2 linked regions of the Struthio camelus genome follow. The protein of the gene in region 1 interacts with the protein of each later gene in a biochemical or structural test. Links are inferred from orthologs where the notes say so. Each region holds a gene or a part of one and is shown on either strand. Other genes may lie near its edges.

The links.
Region 2: the proteins of RRM1 (region 1) and RRM2 form a complex in vitro, tested with the Homo sapiens proteins (3 studies listed by BioGRID and IntAct). The link is inferred for Struthio camelus from reciprocal best matches to the Homo sapiens genes RRM1 and RRM2.

The regions. Positions count from the first base shown.
Region 1 is NC_090942.1:224,376,191-224,386,643, forward strand, and holds the start of RRM1 (ribonucleoside-diphosphate reductase large subunit), read left to right. Parts: upstream 1-6,630; 5' UTR 6,631-7,047; coding exon 7,048-7,066; intron 7,067-8,022; coding exon 8,023-8,111; intron 8,112-9,841; coding exon 9,842-10,019; intron 10,020-10,453. Other genes in the region: sodium-dependent proline transporter-like, read right to left, coding at 442-625, 2,962-3,027. UniProt on the Homo sapiens protein: Provides the precursors necessary for DNA synthesis. Catalyzes the biosynthesis of deoxyribonucleotides from the corresponding ribonucleotides.
Region 2 is NC_090944.1:24,609,388-24,619,219, forward strand, and holds the start of RRM2 (ribonucleoside-diphosphate reductase subunit M2), read right to left. Parts: upstream 3,834-9,832; 5' UTR 3,600-3,833; coding exon 3,507-3,599; intron 3,424-3,506; coding exon 3,346-3,423; intron 3,180-3,345; coding exon 3,048-3,179; intron 2,771-3,047; coding exon 2,654-2,770; intron 2,132-2,653; coding exon 1,998-2,131; intron 842-1,997; coding exon 747-841; intron 1-746. UniProt on the Homo sapiens protein: Provides the precursors necessary for DNA synthesis. Catalyzes the biosynthesis of deoxyribonucleotides from the corresponding ribonucleotides. Inhibits Wnt signaling.

The sequences.
Region 1 (10,453 bases):
GCGGGCGCAGCCGGCAGTGACCTCCAGCGGCCGCGGCACCCGTCGCCGCACCCGTGCGCCCCGAAAACTCCCCCTTCCTGACCCAGCCACCGCTGGGGCTGCCGGCAGCACCGGGGGGAGGCGGCGGGAGCGCGGACACGCGTGGGCTGCCCGCAGCCCCCTTCCCCCAGCCCCTTCCCCCCCCCCCGCCTGAAGCACCCCGCACCCCGCCGCCAGCCCTGCCCCGGGGGCAAAATCCCTTTCCCCGGCTTACGGGAAGGGCCGAGCCCGGCCCCAGCCCCTCTCACCTCCGGCCCCGGGGTGGGGGGGGAGCGGGATGGGGCAAGGGTGCACGCGTGTGCGTGGGTCGGGGTGTGCTGCAATAACCCCCTGGCGCTTTGCACGGGCCCCCGGGGCCGGGCAGGGGCTGCGAGCGCGGGCGGCCGTGCCGGGCGGACTCACCCCCTCCGTTGCGGTAGCACAGGTAGGGGAAGCGCCAGACGTTGCCCAGCCCCACGCAGTAGCCCAGGCAGGACAGCAGGAACTCGTGCTTGCCGGCCCAGGTGGCCCGCGGCGGGCCGGGGGCCGGGGCCGAGCCGGGGGGCTGCGCCGGGGGTCCCGGGCTCTCCGCCTGGAAGATGTTCACCTGCGCGGGCAGGAGAGGTGTCAGCCGGCCCCCGCCGCCCTCCTCCTCCTCCTCCTCCTCCTCTCCAAAGGAGCCTGGCCTCAGCTGAGCTCCGCCGTCTCCTGCTGCAGCCCTGCGGTTGGGCTACCCCCTGCCCTCCACCTCTGCTCTCACTAAGGACAGTCCCTTGGGCCACCCCGAGCAGAGCAACGTTCCCCAAAGCGATGGGACACATCGCTTAGGCTCCTTCCACCCGCCCTGCTGCCTCTCACTGCAGCCTCAGCCAACGCTCCTGCGGTCCTTGACCGCGGATGGGTCCTGTTTCCCGACACAGAGAAGCACCCGCGTGTGATGGGCTGGGGCTCATGTGCTCTGCAAGGAGTCTGTGGGCCACAGACAGGCCCAGGGCGCAGGGATGTCTGCTCGTGTGCAAAGTCCGCAGGTGGAGCACAGCTTCCTCCAGGGACCTGATCCAAGGGGATGTCAGCCTAGGCGTGCCAGCACCTGGGTGCGCTTGCTTCCTCCAGAAGTCAAAGAGAGCCTCAAAATGCTCCTTCCAGATAAGATACCAGAAATCAATCTGGATTACCTGCAGGTCATTGAAACGAACTGCAGATTAGCTGTGCCACGGGTACTGGCTCACCATGGGCTCTGCCTCGCAGCTGGCACTGTATCAAAGCTATTTGGCCACCAGGAAGCCTGGTACAAAGATGCCAGGTGCATTTACAAGAGGCAGCCCGGGCACAGCAAGTGTCAGCGCAGACCTAGCAAGTCCTGATGGACCCGGCCGGCTGCGCAACGGCTGCCCCATGCTCCAAGCACAGATTGCAGTCCCCCAGCCTCTGGTGCTTCCCGCTGTCCTGGTCCCACACTGCCCAGAGGCGCTCAAGGACCCTCTGGGCAAGTCTCCTGGCCCAAGAGACCACTCTTGCCCTTCTCCTGCAGGGCTGCTGTGAGGTACCTTGTTCACACACCCAAAGCAGCCAGGAGACCTAGGAGCCTCCAGATGGGAGCCTGCAAAGGCAGGTAGCACATTTATCGCTTCAGCTGAGCCCTCCTGCCGTCACCCGCTACCAGTCATGTTTCAGAGGACTGCAGCTGCTTAAAATCTGCAAATGCAAATACCCTGAACACCACATCTGGTCTACCTGCTGGGTCAGCGGGATCTGCTCCCAGCGCCCCTGCCCACAGCAAATGCTGGCAGATGCAACCAGGTCTCAGGAGGGAGATGCAGGATGGGGCCGAGGAAGAGCGAGCGGCCGCAGCGCTCGGCAGCCTTCGGCACAGCCTGGAGCCCGGCCGTGCTCGCGGCAGCGTGAGCGCCCCAGCCCCACCACTCGCTGTCGGCTCACCGCGGGCAAGCGGGGAGGCAAGGCAGACCAAGGCAAGGGCTTCAGCCCAGCTGGTGGCAGCCCAGAGGGGCTTACGGTGGTGCCCGGAGGAGAACCGTGGTGGCTTGGCAGCGTGTCGCGGCGAGCTGCCCAGGAGGCAGCACACGGACAGCGTGATGGGGCAGCCTTGAAAGACCCAACCCGCAGGCGATGGGAGCTGGCGGTGTGGGTTGGCCGTGCCATCAGAGGCAGAAAAGCCTCCTGAGGCTGCTGTCCCGAGTGGTGGCAGGGAAAGCACCCCTCGCAGGGCGTCATCCTGGGCCATCTGCTCTGCTCTGGCCGTTCCCCACAAGGGAAGTCAGCGGCACGGGCTGGGAAGGCAGCAGACCGCACGTGCACCCAACAGACCCCCTTTGCTCCTGGCCTCCCCGGCCCCGCGCAGCTTGCAGACAGGCGACCTGCAGCGTGAGCCGTCGGGCTGCCTCCCCAACAGAAGGGGAAGCGGCGGGGTCATGCCAGCCCCTTGCAGCGATGCTCTGGCCTCTGCAAAGCATCGCCCCCAGCCGCCCTCGGCGTGAGCCCCGCGCCGCCCGCCCAAACCCCCGGGATGCAGGGCCACCCCCAGGCGGGGGGCACCGCGCTCTGCCCCGTGCCCAGGCTCCGGCCGCTTGCTGAAATCCCAGCAGCTCTGCCAGACTGCAGCCCCGGGGGTCTCCGCAAGGAGACCTCTACCCGGCCGCGATGGGGAAAGGGCACTTTGACCTTTGCACTGCCACACGGCGGTGGAGTTGCAAGGGCAGCGGAGCCAGACGGAGACCCGCAGCCTCGCCATCCCCTCGGCGCCTGGGCTGCCAGCGCCCAAGGCACCAAGTGCCGCAGCGAGCCCCGCGGTTCCCAGTTCTGCTCCCCGCGTAATCGGGGCTGGGCAGGGAGACCCGCACGCTGCAGCGCCCGGCGCCAGGGACGGGGGCACCTGCAGCCCCGGCGCTGCCGGGCAGGGGCGTCCCGGCGGGGGCCCCGTCCTACCGTGGGCTCCGGCGGTGCGGCGGGGGCCGGGAGCCCCGGCGCGGCGAGGCGGCCGGTGCACGGCATTTCCTGCTCGGCGGGCCGGAGGGCCGGCGCTCGGCTCACCTGCGCCAGGTGCAGCTCCGCCCCGGGCCACGGTCCCCGGGAGCCCCAGCCTGCACCACCCCCTGCAAACCCTCTGTCCCACCGGGGTTGGCAGCCGGGAGGGACCGGAGGCATCACCCCCCCCCTCCCGCCCAGTACGAGTTTCGGCGCCGGGGCTGGGGTCGGACGGGACCCCCGGGCTCGCTCGGTGCCGGGTGTGCACTGGGGAGGCCCCGCTCAGCACCAAGCCTCTGCTGGGACGTGGTTTTCCTGCCGGGCTCTCGGCGAGGCCGGGGCTGTCCCACGCGGCAGCGAGCGCCGTGGTGCCGTCCCCAGCTGGCCAGCCCCAGCCTGCTGCAGGAGGGAGCCGACGGCGCCAGTCTCCCGCCCCAGCAGGTCTGGGGACGCGAGGAAGGGGAGCTCGGTGCAGAGGGACACGGAGGAGCGATACGGGATAGGAGCAGTCCGCTGTCCCCTCCAAGCTGCCAGGTGGAAGGAAGGAGCAATTTGAGAAACGGCTCCATCTCCCTTTCCATGTCAGCCTGGATGGGTGCAACCCCAAAGACACCCCTTACTGTCACCCTATTCTCCCTTACACCAGTCTGTGCTCTCCTGGCCTGTTTGCTGGAAAACTGGCCAGCTGCGCAAGGAGCAGAAATAGCGGTGCTGGTTTTCTGGGAGACCGACTGCTGCTGCCTTTGCACAGGCTCAGCCTCGGCAGTAGCAGCAGCTGCTGAAAGAGAGCTCGACTTAAAACTGTGATCCATCCAGGAGTGAGTCAGTATTTCTACCAGCCATTGACCTGTCTTCTGCTCTTAACGTTTCCACCTCCTTTCCGCTGCGTCTTCCAGGGAACGCACACCACCTTCTGTGTGTCCCTCAATATTGCGTGCGGGTTTTTTTTTGTGATTGATGCGCTGGTCCTGCCTCTCTTTGGCCATTTCCATGACACTGCATCTGGAGCCAGCTGTTCCTAATCTCTGAGCGGAGCAGGTTCCTCGGCAGCGGGAAGGATCCCTTCCACCGGGACTATCCCCCGCCACCGCAGTAGGGAAGGGAGAGCGGAGAACGGGGCAGATTTCTAATCTGGACTAAGCAGAAACATTATTTTCAGTACAAAACACTTCTGCAGAGTGGGATTGGGTCTTGACTTGCCCATTTTTCCGCTCAGCTCGTGACTCCCTCGGAAAGGCTATAAACTCATGTCTCTGGGCGGGGGGGGGAGGTGACTGCGATTGAATCTAACTCAGGAGGAAAAGGAAGCTCATCATGGGAGAAAACCAAAGGAAGAAAGAGACACGCCACGTGGTGACTGCGGTTGCCTCCACCTCACGCCATCTGCCAGAGCACAGTTGCGGTCCTGCGGCGGTGCAACGCCCTCGAGCTTACAACAGGGACTACCTTCAAATGAACAGCGTTTCTATGGATGTTTCTGGGTCAAGGAACTGAGCTAGAGTAAAAGTAATGCCACCCAAGAGAGGAGTGGAATGAAAGAGGCATGTTTAACGTGGATAATTTTGGTGGTCTTGCTTATGGCACAGCCTTGCAAACAGTTGTCCCAAGGCAAGTGAGGGAGCAATAATCAATCAGAGTTGGGAAATCAGTTTTCTCAGAACCCAGCACGGTGTACCACGACACACCAAACAAGCAAGAGGAGGAGGCTCTGTATTCTCTCCTTACAGACTAGATCCCCTTAGTTATCCCACAAAATGCTCAAAGCCTCCACTAGAGCCTAGAGGCATCCAGAGCCAGGGCCACAGAGCAGGGTGGGCTCCCTGTCCCTAGTAGGATTAAGACGCCTCCATGCAGCTAAGTCCATGACTCCAGGCCTCCACCTCACCCTCATGGTTTGCCTGCTTTGGCCAGTAACGTTTCTTAAGCCCCACAGCTCTGCACGTGCACCAGAACCGCTGGCACAGCCTGGCACTGCAGCGCTCTCAAGATCTTCGGGATACGTCTTCTGCAGGTCCCAGTCCAGCAGATGACCTCCGAACACACAACAGAAGCCAACAGGGGTGTGGAAAGCAGGAGATGGTCATCGGGAGAAGTGGAGAGAGCCTCCCTCCTGAGGACACGTACAGCCTGGCTGGGACAGGGCTCCTCGGGGGGTGGGGAGCACCAGGGTGACTCCCCTCATCCAGAGGGAAGACGCGAACTCGAGACTTGCGCAGCTTTGCTGCTTATGCAGTCAGCTCTGTAACCATCAGTATCACCAGTGGCTCTTTTAGAAACGAGGCCTGATGGGGTCTTGACTCGTCTTTTTGGAAAAGAGGCCTGTTGAAAGGGACGGCTTGGACGCCTTGGTCCAGAAGAGGGGCTGGCATCACCACGCCACACAGCACGTCGCTGTAGAGGAGCACATCGCAAACCTCCGCCGTTTCCAGCTGGCCTAGCCTCCCCGGTGCCCGCAGAGCAGGCCAAGCGCTGGGCTTGGGCTCAGGCTCCCCGTTCTCCCTCCATCCTCGGCACGACCTCGCGCGTCAGCGAGAGCTGGGAGCTGAGCGTCCCGCTGCACGTCCGCCCCCTCATCCCCGGCGCCGTAGACCCCCCTCTTCGTATCACATGCATTTAAGGCACTGAAACAAACCTGCCTTAGTTTGGAGCGCTGTTCTAGCCCAGAGGTAGTCTCCTAGCTGGGGAAGACTCAGGCCAGCGGGAGGCCCGGCCTTCCACATAATATATATAAAATATACATACACACACACACACACACATTTATCTATATATTTATAAAAAAATAAATATAAATATATATTATATGTAATATATATGATTATATAGATTATATATATATATAAAAATATATATATGCATTATAAAATATATATTTATTTATAAACAAATAAAAAAAGAGTGAAAAAGAGTGGTCCTAAAGCAAAACCTAGGAGAACTTGAGGGCAAAGAGCTGCGAGCGCAACTCAGAAGGCTCAAATAAACCACAATGCTGTTTTTTTTCTTCTTTTTTTTTTTTTAATCCTGTAGGGTCTTTTCCCATAACGCAGAAAAATGGCCCCAAAATGGACTGTCATTTCCTGCTCAGGTCCAGACGTTCCCGAGTCTCACCCTTGCCGAGGAGGGCACGGGGGGCCGTCAGCCCCTGCCACCGCGTCCGTCTCCCCGCGCCGGTAACCGCCCGTTTGGGGTCGGCGTCGGCGCGGGGCCAACCGACGTCCCCCGCAGCGCCCGTCTTTCCTCACGGGTCGTGCCACCATCACCTGAAACCTGGTGAGCTTTCCGGGGCGGCGCCCTGCCCGGGCAGGCCCGGGGCACCCGAGGGCACCACGTTGTCCCCTCCGGGCGGGCGCCGCTGCCAATCGGGGCGTTTCCCGCGTTTTGGGGGGAAAACGGCGGCTGCAGGACGCGGCGGTCGTCCATGTGCCGTTGTCCTCGCCCCGGCCCCTCACCGGCAAGGGCCTTCTGTGGGCAGAGAGGGGCTGTGCAGGCGCCCCTTGTTGGGAGAACCGCACTGAATGCTCTGCCTGGGCCTTGCTTTGGCATAATTAGCGTAATTGTTGTTATTACTACAACGGTAGTCTCGTTGTTGTAATTATTTTTTGCAAAACGGGGGTATTTTGTCCCTCCGGCGGCTCCGTACGTCGCGCCCTCGGGCTGGCGTAAACGGCCCGTTCTCGTCTCGCCGCCGCTCTCGAAGGAGAGGGTGGGAGGTCGGTCGCCATCTTGGAAGCGGGCAAACGACTCGGCTGCCGCTGCTAGGGTGGTGTTTTCCGGGAGGAGAGGGGGAAGGATGGGGATGTAGTTAAGGATGAGCCTCCGCGAAGGGGTTAGAGGCAGCGCGTGAAATCCCGGTGGTGAGGGAAGGAGCTGAAAAGGCGGCAGTGCCCGGAGCCAAGATGGCGGCGGCAGCGGCCTCAGCCGGGGGGGGCGGAGCGCTACGGCGGCGCGGCGGGGCCAGCGCAGTTGGCGGGAGCGGGAAGCGTTTAGTCCGCGCTTGGCGCCGAGGAGCCGTTGGAAAGCCCGCGCGCCGGGACGCCGACCGCCGCCATGCACGTCGTGAAGCGAGGTGGGGGCCGGGCGGCGGGGCTGGGGATGGCGCGGCCCGGGGGGCACCGCGGGGGGCAGCGTGGGGGTGACCCCTGTGGTGGAGGGGGGGGTCCCTGTGGAGGCAGCGGGGGGGTCGGGTGTGGGGTGACCCCTGTGGTGGGGGGGGGTCCCTGTGGAGGCAGTGGGGGGGCAGGGTGTGGGGTGACCCCTGTGGTGAGGGGGGTCCCTGTGGAGGCAGTGGGGGGGCAGGGTGTGGGGTGACCCCTATGGTGGGGGGGGGTCCCTGTGGAGGCAGTGGGGGGGCAGGGTGTGGGGTGACCCCTGTGGTGGGGGGGGGTCCCTGTCGAGGCAGCGGGGGGGCAGGGTGTGGGGTGACCCCTGTGGTGGGGTGGGGTTTCCTGTGGAGGCAGTGGGGGGGCAGGGTGTGGGGTGACCCCTGTGGTGAGGGGGGTCCCTGTGGAGGCAGTGGGGGGGGAGGGTGTGGGGTGACCCCTGTGGTGGGGGGGGTCCCTGTGGAGGCATCGGGGGGGAGGGTGTGGGGTGACCCCTGTGGTGGGGGGGGTCCCTGTGGAGGCAGCGGGGGGGCAGGGTGTGGGGTGACCCCTGTGGTGGGGGGGGGTTTCCTGTGGAGGCAGTGGGGTGCAGGCTGTGGGGTGACCCCTGTGGTGGGGGGGGGGTCCCTGTGGAGGGCAGGGTGTGGGGTGACCCCGTGGTGGGGGGATCCCTGTCCAGGCCATGGGGGCAGGGTGTGGGGTGACACCTCTGGTAGGGGGTTAGAGGGCTAGCCACCTTTTTTCCCTTCCTCTTGAGCCTGAACAGGAAACCTAAACGGGTAGTCCTTGGTGATTCCCGCCCTGACTTCCCGCAGAAGAGAGTTGGCTCCTTATTGTGTGATCTCCTGGGTAGAAGGATACTGTTTTTAACTGCTTCTTGGTGTAACGGGAGCTGTTGTGTTTGTAACTTCTTCCTCAACAGATGGACGCCAAGAGCGTGTCATGTTTGACAAGATCACGTCACGCATCCAGAAGCTATGCTATGGGCTCAATGCTGACTTTGTTGATCCAGTGAGTCTGTCCTCTCTCCTCTTTTCCTGTTCTCTACCCCTTGTGGTGATCTTTGCTAAAAGCCAATAGTTTTGAGCAGGTGCTATCCATTTTTTGCCTTCCTTTTAGCAAAGGGAAAGCTAAGCACGGCAGCCTGTGCAGGAACTGTTGGCAAATACATTGACTACTCTATTTTTCCATAATGTGTTTCTTCTAGCTGTTTGTGTTTTGGGGTTTTTCTTGCCTCACAAGTACAAAGTCTGAGACTGGGTTTGAGGGAGGTGATTATGCTTCTTGTACTTTGAGTTGTTTGTTGCTCCAGCTCGCATATTTTAGTTGATTGCTTTCTGTTTCAATTTGCAAAGCTAAACAATGCTGTATGGAAAATAAATCTTGGTCCTCTCTTAATAAAATGGAAAGGTGCCCTTTATCTGTGACGGAACTCCCCTGCCATTATATCCCTACTTTACTTTTCCGAGCTGTCTATGATTTTGGGTGCTTAGTAATCCCACCTCTACGAGCTTCTCCTTCCACAGCCTCGTGGATCCATTGACATCTGTGAGATTTTTACGCCGATGTGCAAAGCTAGTCTGTTCATTTGGAGTTGTCAACTTAGGCTCTTCACATCTCCAAGATCTTGTGATTTGTTTTCTTGTCTTCAATTACATCTGTAAAATATCTGACATTGATTCTGTACCAAAAAAGTAATGCTGAAATAGAGAGTATATTGACTTGATCTGAATGACAGAGGGAGTTGATGATGAGGACAGAAATAAAGTCCCTAGGCTTCCTGACTCTTTGTACCCTCATCTTAATAGCAAAGCTAATTTTACGTGAAGCAATGTATTTTTATTTATTCTGCGGGAGTGTGTGGGATATCTCTTCCTGGACTTGGATTTCTCCTTTTGGATTCAGAACTTCTCATGACAGATGATTTACAAGGAAATAACAAAAATTCTTAATCTGAATGCTTCCTTACAGAGAGTAAAGTTTGAAAATTACACGTGCTGGTTTCGTAAGGCTGTAGGCACTTCAAACGTATGTGGCGGTTACCGTGTTAGGTCAGACCTCTGTTCTTCAGTGTAGAATATCACTATTGTAGTGATATTGATCACTACAGTAGTGATCAGCACTAAATGCTGATTGTAGTGATCAGCACTAAATGCTTGAGAGAAAAGCAGAGAAGATTCTCGAAGCAGCAGATGCAGAAGTCTCTTCCCAGGAAAGGTCCCAATGGATAGATGAAGATGAGGTTAAGCCATGAAGCAAAATCCTTTTTGACTTGTCCAGGGTGGAGTTTTTTGCTCTTGTCATCATAAAATTTAAAGTATAACAGATTCCAAGTCTCATCAGGCATTTACAAAGTCAAGTTTTAAACTCATTTGGAGTTTTAAAACTTCCAGGCAAGTAAAGTTTTAATGTGACTTTTATTCCATGCACTTTGCTGCTACTTTATGCGAGCCTTTAGGAAAGTGTCTATGTTCAGAAAGTTCTTGGTGATTCTGTGTTGACAGTTTGTATTTTCTTCACTCTTTCCCTGCTGTCTTTCTGGCCCTACTATCTCTTGGTTTAAAAACTTTAGGAATCAGTACTTTATCAAGAGGATTTTGTATTTTAGTTTGCTTTGCTGTTCAGACAGAATGAAAGGTACCCCTTATAGCGAAGCATGTTTTATTTCTTTTAAATGGTTGAAAATTTTTTTTCTTTTTTTAAACAAAAGATTGCTAATCTGCAGAATTTTGCTGTTTCAGGCCCAGATCACCATGAAGGTAATTCAGGGGCTATACAGTGGTGTCACAACAGTGGAACTGGATACGCTGGCTGCTGAAACGGCTGCGACTCTGACTACCAAACACCCTGACTATGCTATCCTGGCAGCGAGAATTGCAGTGTCCAATTTGCACAAAGAAACTAAGAAAGTATTCAGTGGTAAGTCTGTCTGGGGGCGTGTGGAGAGCAGTTAGTCAGAAAGGGAGTAGGAGTTCTGGAGGATATAAATACGTAAAGCTCTTTATTAGCAGAAATTAAATACCTAGGCCAACTAAAAATGCCAAGGGAATGAAAAACATCAGTTTTATGCATGTCGCAAGGAAAATCAAATTGTTTTGCGAAAAATATCTGTATAAAAGAGACTGAAGAATGTAATTGATTGAAATTAGGATGCACCCACTTTCTTTTCACACTTTAAAAACAAAATCTCTAAACCTGTGAAAAGAGAATCAATTTGAAAAGCTTATTGCCTCTAAAGTGGAATTGCCTGCTGAACTTTGTTGGCTAGACAGAAATTCTCTAGCTGTCACCGAATGATGAATTCTATTAAAAAATATTCTAAGCAAAGTGCTTTTTCAAGGTCAGTAGAAAAT
Region 2 (9,832 bases), on another chromosome or scaffold:
AAAAGTTGTGAATAGACCAGTGAACTGAGTCTTTCAAGCAGAATGAAAGCACTGCTGCTCAAGTGTGCTATAGTGTGTCCCTGGAAATGGTATAGTAAAGGCTTCTGTCAAAGCAAAATACTTTTTAAACTGCAAAGCAAAGTAAAAACTAATTAGAGGAGGTGGTAGGCAGCTGAAGCCAGCACTCCTTCCCCCAGGTTAAATGTCATACCACCTTTTCCCCCATAGATTACACACTGAACAAAGAACAGTCATCTTCAGTGTCAGATTAAAGTCAGTGACTGCTCATCATTGCTCAAGTGAAGAACTTTGTGCATGAGGAACATTAATAGCAGTGAAATCGCTGCACTCTCTACCATCTCATTTTCACCTTTTAAGCAAGGCATCAAAAATCAGTAAGGCAGATGAGCCATAGCCTCCAACTGAATGTGTCTACCAGAGAGCAGAGACCAGTGCAGTTCATGACACAAGAAACAGTTGCAATTTGATCATACAGAGATTGCCACAGGAGCTACCGTTAGTCAAAATACTAGCAGTTTTAGAGATTTGCATCATCAGTTTATCGGCAAGACAAACAAGATTTTTTCATCTCCAGAATTATACCAGCATTTTCTAGATAGTGCTTACTCATACCCTGACAACAATAATCCCTGTGAACTGTGAGGAAGTCTGGACAAGTTCTGGAAAGCGGTTCTTCCATTCTTTTAGGGAAGAAATTTCACTTTGCTTCTAAAAAACATACTCACCGTATGTTGCTTGCTTGTCCCCAATCCAGCGCATGGCCCAGTCAGCCTTCTTTTTAACACATGGTAGCGTCTCAATAGCATTAAAAAGAAATTCCCTGAGAAGCATATAACTCATTAGGACAAGATTTCAGCAAAGCAACCAGTACAATAAGCCTTCACAGCTGTAGATGGCCTCATTCACTTACAAGGGCTCTGTACCTTCACCTCAGTATTTAAGCTCCCCTCCCATTTTATTTTGTACCAAACCTAGCTGCATTTGTGCTCATCTACCTTTGCATGACCTTCACATTACATCAACAGGAATTCACACAAATTCCCATGACAAAACCAAATGGAGTACTGATTCAAGAAGTATGCTTGAACAAGTCTCAAAACTATAGAGCAGCTGACCTCCACTTTTCCGTGACAAGGCATCTAACTTTTCACATAAGCAATTCTTCCTTAAAAATTTAAAGCAATTAAGCACCCACAAGTAGGAAAGAGTGATGTGGCTAGTCAGCTTTCTGCAAAGTAACAGCAATTAAATAAGTACCTCTACACTGCAGCTAGCATTTCAGTAACACTTTACCCCAGTAGGGTGCTTGCCTCCCATGACATTCCAAAAATAACTCGAAAAAGCCCAAGTTGCTCAAAGCCCTGCACTGAGTTTTAAGAAGATCCCATTATTGAACTGATCCACCTTGTTATGGGAAAGTTACATTTTGGTGATACTTTTAATCACTATTCTTTTTTTCAAGCATGCAGCTTTATCTACATATAGCTGTCAAAAAGGAAGTTTGCCTTTATTATTTTAGAAAGAAGTCAAAAATAGTCAAGTCTCTAACAGCAGCATATGGCGAGTGCATCAGTCATTAACTAGATACAGTGAGTATTAGAGACTATTTTATTTAAAAAGCTGTTATCCTTAGAGAAACTTCCCTACATAGCTACCTACCAACGGAGTGGGTCCTCCGTAGCAGAGCTTACTGTGGTTTAACATACGCCCTTATTTGACCATGTTACCTGTTAGATGTTTAGTCTCATTCCATTATTTCAATGTTAAGTATCTGTTTTTACTCTGAACCTAGATGAAGTCTTGCTCATACATTTAGGAGCAGAAAGATATTTAAAAGTCCATCTTAAGCAGCATTTCAGTGATATTTTAATCTAATTCAAATCCTAAAGTTAGACTAAAGTCACAAACACGAATGATGCACATCATGTAAACCTCAGTTATCAGTTTTGAACCTTTCATTATCAAGCAATACTAACCTCTCTTTTGAATCTTTAATGTATGTGTCAATAAGAAGACTGTACATTTCCGAATGTATATTTTCCATGGCAATCTGGAAGCCATAGAAACAACGGGCTTCTGTGATCTGTACTTCTTGACTGAACCGCTCCACCTAGAGGAAAAAAACTTCATTATCAATGGTTCTGCAAACACTAACTTGTATATTAAAGGTATTGATGCTTTCTATGAGGAGCTACATTTGCTTAGCCTATAACATTATCTTCAAACTAAATCCACATGTTTAGATTCTAAACAGAAACGTTAAGAGCACCAGCATCTTAAGTAGACTTGCAGCTGTAAAGTTGTTCTTTGGTCCCCAAAGGAAGAGAAGAACATCTTAAATTGGCTTTGCCTCCCTTAAGGGAACACTGACAGATCTGAAGCAGAGCAAGGGCTCTGAGTAGGCTAGTTGTTACTATAAGGCAGTGCTTTCTGCTCTGTGGGGAAAACGGCCAGCCTCTTGAATTTAAAAAGCATCCCCCCCACTTCACTTAATAACATAAGGCAATATTAAAGTTTTTAAGCACAGGTAAACAAGCTAGATAGGCCAGCAAGTACCTCATTAAATATGTAGTTATTTGGTTACCTTCATTTCATGGAATAGGTTATTTCAGGGCCCTTTCTACACACTCACCAAGTTCTCATTCACAATGCCATCACTGGCAGCAAAGAAGGCAAGGACATGGGAAATGAAGTATTTTTCCTCAGGCTTCAGCGACTCCCAGTGCTGGATATCCTTTGAAAGATCCACCTGAAACACAAGGGAAGCAATGAAACAATAAAGGGCTCCTAAGAGAAACAGACACTTCAGGTAAAGTGTTCGTACCACAGTCCGAGGTGCTACCCTGCAAGCAGGGTGCACTTTCAGCAGCATGTTAGGGAAGTGTTTTGAGATGTTACAATCCCCTTAGGGCTACGGAAAAATCAGGTAACCTTGTCCAGCTTCATTATTAATATTATGGCAGGAGAAGTGCCTTTGAAGCAGGGATGAAGCTCCCAGGGGCTCCCGGCACAGCCCCAGCCCTCACCTCCTCGGCAGTCCAGAAGGAGGCCTCGGCCTTCTTGTACATCTGCCAGATGTCGTGGTACTGGATGGGGAAGATGACAAAGCGGCGGGGGTTGTCCCGCAGCAGCGGCTCCTCCTCGGCGGCCCGCGGCACCTGCGGGCACAGAGCGGCTCGGCCTCAGCCCCGGGCCGCGGCGGGAGGCCAGCGGGGGCGGCGGCGCCGCTCGGCCACGGGGCGCCGAGGCGGCGAGATGCCCGCGGGGAAGGGAGGGAGGGAGGGTCGGTCCCCACGCGCAGCCCGCGCCGGGGCCCGCACTCACCGGCTTCCCCTCGGCCTCCTGGAAGATCTTGCGCGCCGCCTTGCTGGCCAGGACGCGGGTGCTGCTGAGGGCGGGGGGCTGCGGAGAGAGCGGCGGTGAGAGCCGTGCGGCGCTGGGGGTACCGCGGACGGGGGGCGGCAGGAGGGGGGGGGGGAACCCACCGTGTTCTCCTTGTCGCTCAGCGCCAGGTTCTTCAGCGGCGACAGGCGGGGCTGGTCGTGGCGGGCGGAGAGCGGGACGCGGGAGGACAGCATGCTGTCAGCAGCTCACGGCGGGAACGCGGGACGCACCGCCGCCCGGCGCCGCCCCTTTATATCCCCTTCGAACTTGGCGCCAGAACGCCCGGCTGCCCACTCACAGCCCGAGCCGGGCGCGCGGCGCCCCCGCCCCCGCACGCCCATTGGCTGCAGGCGCGGCGCGGGCCCAGCCTCCCATTGTCGCCGTGGCGGGAGAGGAGGACCTGCCCTTCGCCCCGGCGCTCCCGCCGCGGGGAAAAAGGCGGGAGAGCGCGGGAGCCCCGCCCCCGGGCGCCTGCCCCGCCCCCCGCACCTTGGGGGCTGCGCGGGGGGAGGGGCCGGGCCCCGGGGCTGTGAGGAGCCGTTACCCGCCTCGCGGCCGGCGGTGCGGGCTGGTGGCCGCCGCCGCCGCCGCCCCGGGGCCGCCCCGCCCCGTCGCCCTCGGGGGAGAGGCCTGCTGCCGTGCTTCCCTGCGCCCTGGCCTCGACAGGGCCTGGCAGCTGATGAAATTCTCCAGCTGAATTACTGCGCCGGGTTGATGCCGGTGTAGCTTCCCACTTGGGGCTCACAGGGGCACGTCTATAGCAGCGTCGCTTGGCTTCAGAGCCACCTTTATTCTAGATTAATGGTGTCAGTGGGGCACCTCACGCTAATAAAACTGCTGCACATTGCACCAGGGCATGTCTCCGTGTGGATAAACCCTACAGGATCTTCGGTTTTGCTTTCTCCAGGCTTGAGCTAATCTTCTGGAAAGCTGTAAATGCCTCCATTTATCGCCGATGAGCGTTTAGGGGCACAGGATTTAATGTAAAACATAGCAGTTATTTCACAGCTGAATAAAGGGTACATAAAAATATATTTAAAAAAAAAACCCCGCAGCCTTGATCACTTGTGGTATGCATAACCTCTTCTAAAGAGAAGCGTGGCTGTGGATCCTAAATATGGTATCTGGCTTTGAAAGATTTGGGATGTAATAGGGAAGTGAGTAACTTAATTCCAGATTTTGGCTTTAAGGTAGAGCTTTGGAAATGCCATGTTTCCCCCCTCCCTGCCTTGCTCTTCCCCCCTCTCTTCTGATCCCTCCCCCATCCTGATACATTTTCCCTTTCCCTCCACAGGGATGGCTGCATTTGACAGAAATTGTTTTCATGGAGAAGCAGCCTCCATATGCCACCCGGTTTCATATGGTTTAAATAAATAGTACAAGCAGGGAAGAAAATAGCAATGAAAAAGAAAGAAGATTCATCTGCTTTAAAAAGTCAATATTTATTTGACACTAATGAAATCGTTTTTATTTAAGCAGCAGCTGCATTTCCCTCTTCCTCCCTCCCCACACCAGCTCACTCTAACTTGCAGATATTACGAAAGAAAATAGCAGCGGGCCGTGACGTGTCCCCAGGCCAGTCCCAGCCACGACAGGAAAGGTGTGTGTCTTGCTGAAGCTTTGAACGTTGTCAGTGCAGCCTGACTCCACAGAGGGAGGACCTGCAGACGGACCAAAAAGTTTTCTCAGGGACAACAGAAAGAGAAAGTACGTTTTCATAACTCACAAAGAGCAGCAAAAAGCTGCTAACACAGCTTTAGGCTGATTGCTTCCCTTGGAGCCCCAGAGCAAGAGGCCCTCCTCCGGTGGTTCGCACTGCTGGCGTTACAGCAGCACTGCATATGGCTTGTGCCGGGTCTGATTCACTGAAGCATGTCCTCAGTTTTAATGAAACTAGAAGCTTATTGGGACTTTTAGGCTCTTCAGTGGTGTGGGATGCCACTGAAGTCACTGTCACCCAAACAGAAGCCCAGCCTGCTACTGGGACCGGGGGCCATGAGTTATGAGACCCGGTGCTGCCCAGGGCATGGCTAGAAAATAGGCAGGTAAGGCAGGAGGGGAGCAGACGACCAGGCCCCCAGGGAAGCCGATAGAAAGTGGACATTCAGGGACCTGCCCATCGCTGCAGCCCCTTAAACCATCTTTTCGACTATATGACAATACTGTGTACTGCTTTAGTGAGCAGATTTGGACAAAAACCAAGAGTATTCCCTTCTGACATCATCATCTAACACTGCGAGTTCAAGTGTGTTACTCATTTCAAAACTGCGTCAAGATCACTGAATTTGGGTCTGACTCTCCTCAGCGGGAGCATATCAGAAATGGCCAGCGGAATAAGTCCTTCATCAAACTGTGGTATTTGTCCTATGTAGGACGCTGGACTCACTGCAGGCATCCACCCGGGAGATGCTCTGTGGGACCTTCTGGGCTAAATACATATATATATATGTATATAGCAATCCCAGGACAGAAAGCATCACAAAAGCACATCCCCTCAAATAAGCTTCCAATCTAAGATAAAATGCTACAAGCCATGACTGCCATCTGCCACAGACAGAACAGGAAGCCATGAGACCATCACTGCTATCCTAGACACCTGTAGCAACCAGGCATTTGGTGCGCCTCAGATATATATACTCAGATAGAGGTGGATTCTGGCCTAGAGGCCAAGTGAGGGCCAAGGAAAGGCAAAAACAGCAACAATACCTCATGCTTTTTGCTTTTTGGCTTGCTTCCAGTCAGGGACTTCGGGAAATGTTTAAGGCAGTATCTTCAGTTCCTGCCCAGGTAGGTCTGTGTCTGAGGACAGTGGCTCTTGCTCCAGGCCTTGATCCTCACCCTCTCAGAGAAGAGGCCAGGCTTCAGCAGCCAAACCCCACTAAAACATGGACATCGCAGCCCCTCTTAACCCCAGCCATTCCAGAAAACCAGTTACCCTGAATAAGCGCTGAATTTAGCTCCAGTTTATTCTGATGGCACAGACATGGTGCATAGATAGCAGAGGTGTTATTGTCCCATCCAGGCACTGGTTACCCCCAGCAGAGGGGAGGCAGGAGGTAGCCGAGTGGGCTATTTGTTGGCCATCCCAGTGCAAAGCCAGGTACAAAAACCCACCTACCCAAATCCATCAGCCAGTGTAGGAACAGCCTCCTGTTCTGCCGCAGGAAAGCGGGTTTCTGGGGGAAGGAATGCCAGACAGCTCCAAAATGCTTCATAGAGCCCATACGGAGCCCGACTATCTCCTGCCACCTCTGCACTGCACACCACTCCACCCTGCCCTGCCACCATCTGCTGCTGGGGAGGGGTTAGCAGATAGCTACCGCAGCTCTTTCCCTGCCCCTGCCAAATTACTTCATCCACCCTCCCAAATAAAGGGACCCAAAGCTACCAGTCCACAAGCCCCAGGCCACCTATGCAGACTGTCATGATGTAACTCCTGTGCTATCATTGCAACTCCAGCAACTACTCTCAGAAGTCAATGGCACAGGAGCAGAGCCCTACACTGTGAAAGATGGCTCCGCAGGAAAAAAATGCCTGGAAGGGCTCAGAGATGTCAAACAGGCTGCAAGGAAGAACATTGCACTGTGTGTTGCTATAGATGCAGCTTACTGATATTCAGGAATGAATGGCCACGCTCAATTCTCTCATTACAACAGCGTAATCCGTTTACATCCATTCTTCTCAGAATAAGACTTGTGGATCCTAACAGGCTTCACTGCAGAGGGGAAGTCAGCTGCATAAGGTTTACACACCAGGTGCAATATATGGTTGTATACATACTATTAGAGAGTATCATGGAGGAAAGCAAGAATGAGGAGCTCAGCCTCCCCATCACATCCTTCTCCATGATGCAACTGCATTTCAGGATCAGCATTTTCAAGCAAGCTTCTTGCCAGAGCCAGAGTCAAAACAGTAGGAAAGCAAAACTGTGCTTTGAAAAGCTAGCAATTGCCATCAAACCAGAGGGTGTCCCACCATTTGGCTTGCACCTACTCTTTGGGTGTTTAGAAGAGTGCTTGGCCCAGGGTGGAGTTGTGTTCAAAAAAAAAAAAAATCCAAAAAGTCTAATTAGTTTTACACCTTCTTTGTTTATAGGAATTTAGATACTCAGAAGTGTGAAAGTAATAGCAGCCCAAGGGCAACTAGACAGAGGCAGGTGTGGGACGTTGTATAACCAAGTTGTTCCCGCAAGTCCACTTTCAGACTGCGCACCTGGGAGTTTCAGCCAGAGGAATGAGCCTGGCACCCACCAGGCCCTGGCATGTTTAATCAGCTGCAGACAAAGCGCAACGCTGATGAATTCAAACTAATATAGACTGGAGAGAAAAGTGTAAATTACTCCAGCACTTTCATGAGTACAAAGTAATGTGTGTGGACACTGCTGTGAAGGGCCCAGGGGTGTCCTCTGCACAGAGTGCCAGTACTGCTAAGAAAAGAACCTCTAGGCCTGCAGTTAAAACTGTTTTACCTGGGATTGTTTCACTTTTAAACATTTGTGCAAGACGTACAATTCCTGTTCTCTTACAGAAATAATCCATAGCATTGCATGGAAGGTGTGGAGTGAGATTCAGGGGAAGAATGGGGTATGTGGTCACCAGGAGGACAAACCCGGTGCTGGTGGGGATCTGCAGGTTATCTGCAGGGACCTCTAGTAGATAGGGTGAGTCCTTCTACTTGTTTGTCTTGTACACGTTTCTTCAGATAGTGTCAAACTCTATCACTTCAGGGCAGGACACATTCACGGGTGCTGGGTCCTAAGCCAAGCACCCAGAGGAAGTAGACAAATGAAGCTCGCAAAGGCAAGCAAAGAAAGGAGATGCTCTCCCTGAATGTCCTGAAAACCAGGGGAAGAAGCAGCCATCCATTCAGCTTCTCAAGTACACTGCATCATCTCACCCTTCCTTAACATTTGCTATTTCTTCTCATCCTAATCTGCTACAACCTTCACCAAAAGCTTTGCCACAACCTTCACCAACAAACACCAACAACACCAGCCCTTCACCTACAGCACTGCATGACTGGAGGCTGAGCCTGTCATTGCCACGGACGGTTCCTTCCCAGAGTCATGTCTAAGCCTTAAAAAGCCAGAAGCTGCCTTCCGTAGCAGAGGAAATGAAGTCATTGAGTTATATAGAATATGAAGAGAAGGGAGAAATCTCTGCTCTCATACCCTTGACATTTGTGAAGAGGTGAAGACATGAGCTGGGCAAGAAAATGAAGCTGCTATGACTATCTGCCAGTGGCCTCGGTCCTAACTACCAATGTTGTAAGTATCCTCAGTGCCTGCCCACATAAGCACACCTTGGCAAAGCTCCTTCCACCCAGGCACAGCTTACAGCCCACAAACCTCACTTATCCGTCACACACCTGCTTCGTCTTAATGGGCACTGCTTTGGCTTTCAGCTGGCTGACATGGCTGCATTGGGTAACGCTCCTCAGTCCTGCAGGGCAGGGCCTTCCGCAGCAAAACTGTCAGGGTCATTTTCTTCTGTCTTACTGCAGATCCCCTGCAGGATGAACAGTCACTTCCAGGTAGTGAACTGGCTTATATCACTGCAGGAACAGGCCTAATTCAGATTAAAGTAGATGAAGATATCTGCATGGGAGAGGCTTATTACTAGCTGAGGACACAGTATTTGTTTCATTTTTTCCCTCAGTTCAGGGAAGATGATTATTTTGCACGGCCTCAGCCAGCCAAACTAATCAGTGACAAATCCTGAAATCCTCACCCACAGCTCAGGCCCACACAGTTGTTATTTTCATAAAGCATCATGCTGAAGAGCCCCCACTTTAGACTTGAAAATCCCAAAGTCTGAGTTCTACATGCAGCCATAAAAATATCTAAATATTCTAAATATAACCTGAGATAGAGAGCAGATGGGCACAGACAGGACAACAGGAGGAAGCCATGAGACAACACTGCCAAGGTGACACAGGGTGGTCTCAATGGCCACCAGTTTTGCCACTAAGCTTGGAGTTAACCCTTAGCATTTTTTCATAAACTCACCCAAATCAGTTGAAGAGAAGGATGCTTGACATCTCTCCAGAACTGTTCTGAACCTTAAGGACTTAAACCAAATGTTCAACAGTTTGAATGAAAATTTTGCCTGAACTAGAGCTGTAAACACATTGTTTAGGGGCAGTTGCATTCCACTCACTGCAGGGTTTATAACTTAAGAGAGGACTCTCTAAAAACTAAGTTGCCAGGCCTCCACGGTGCCTATTTGAGCGAGGCACTTTAATGGACTGTTTCACTGAGAAATCTAAAGCAGAACAAAACTAAAATCTATATTAGCTTGATTCTAGCTGAATATTAGATTGGCTAGTGGAGCCCATTGATTTGCGGGGTTCATAACGCTGTCATTAGGCAACCTGCAGCCTGGTTACCTGATGACAAAGGCCAGCCTTTCCCGAGGTAACGAGCAGC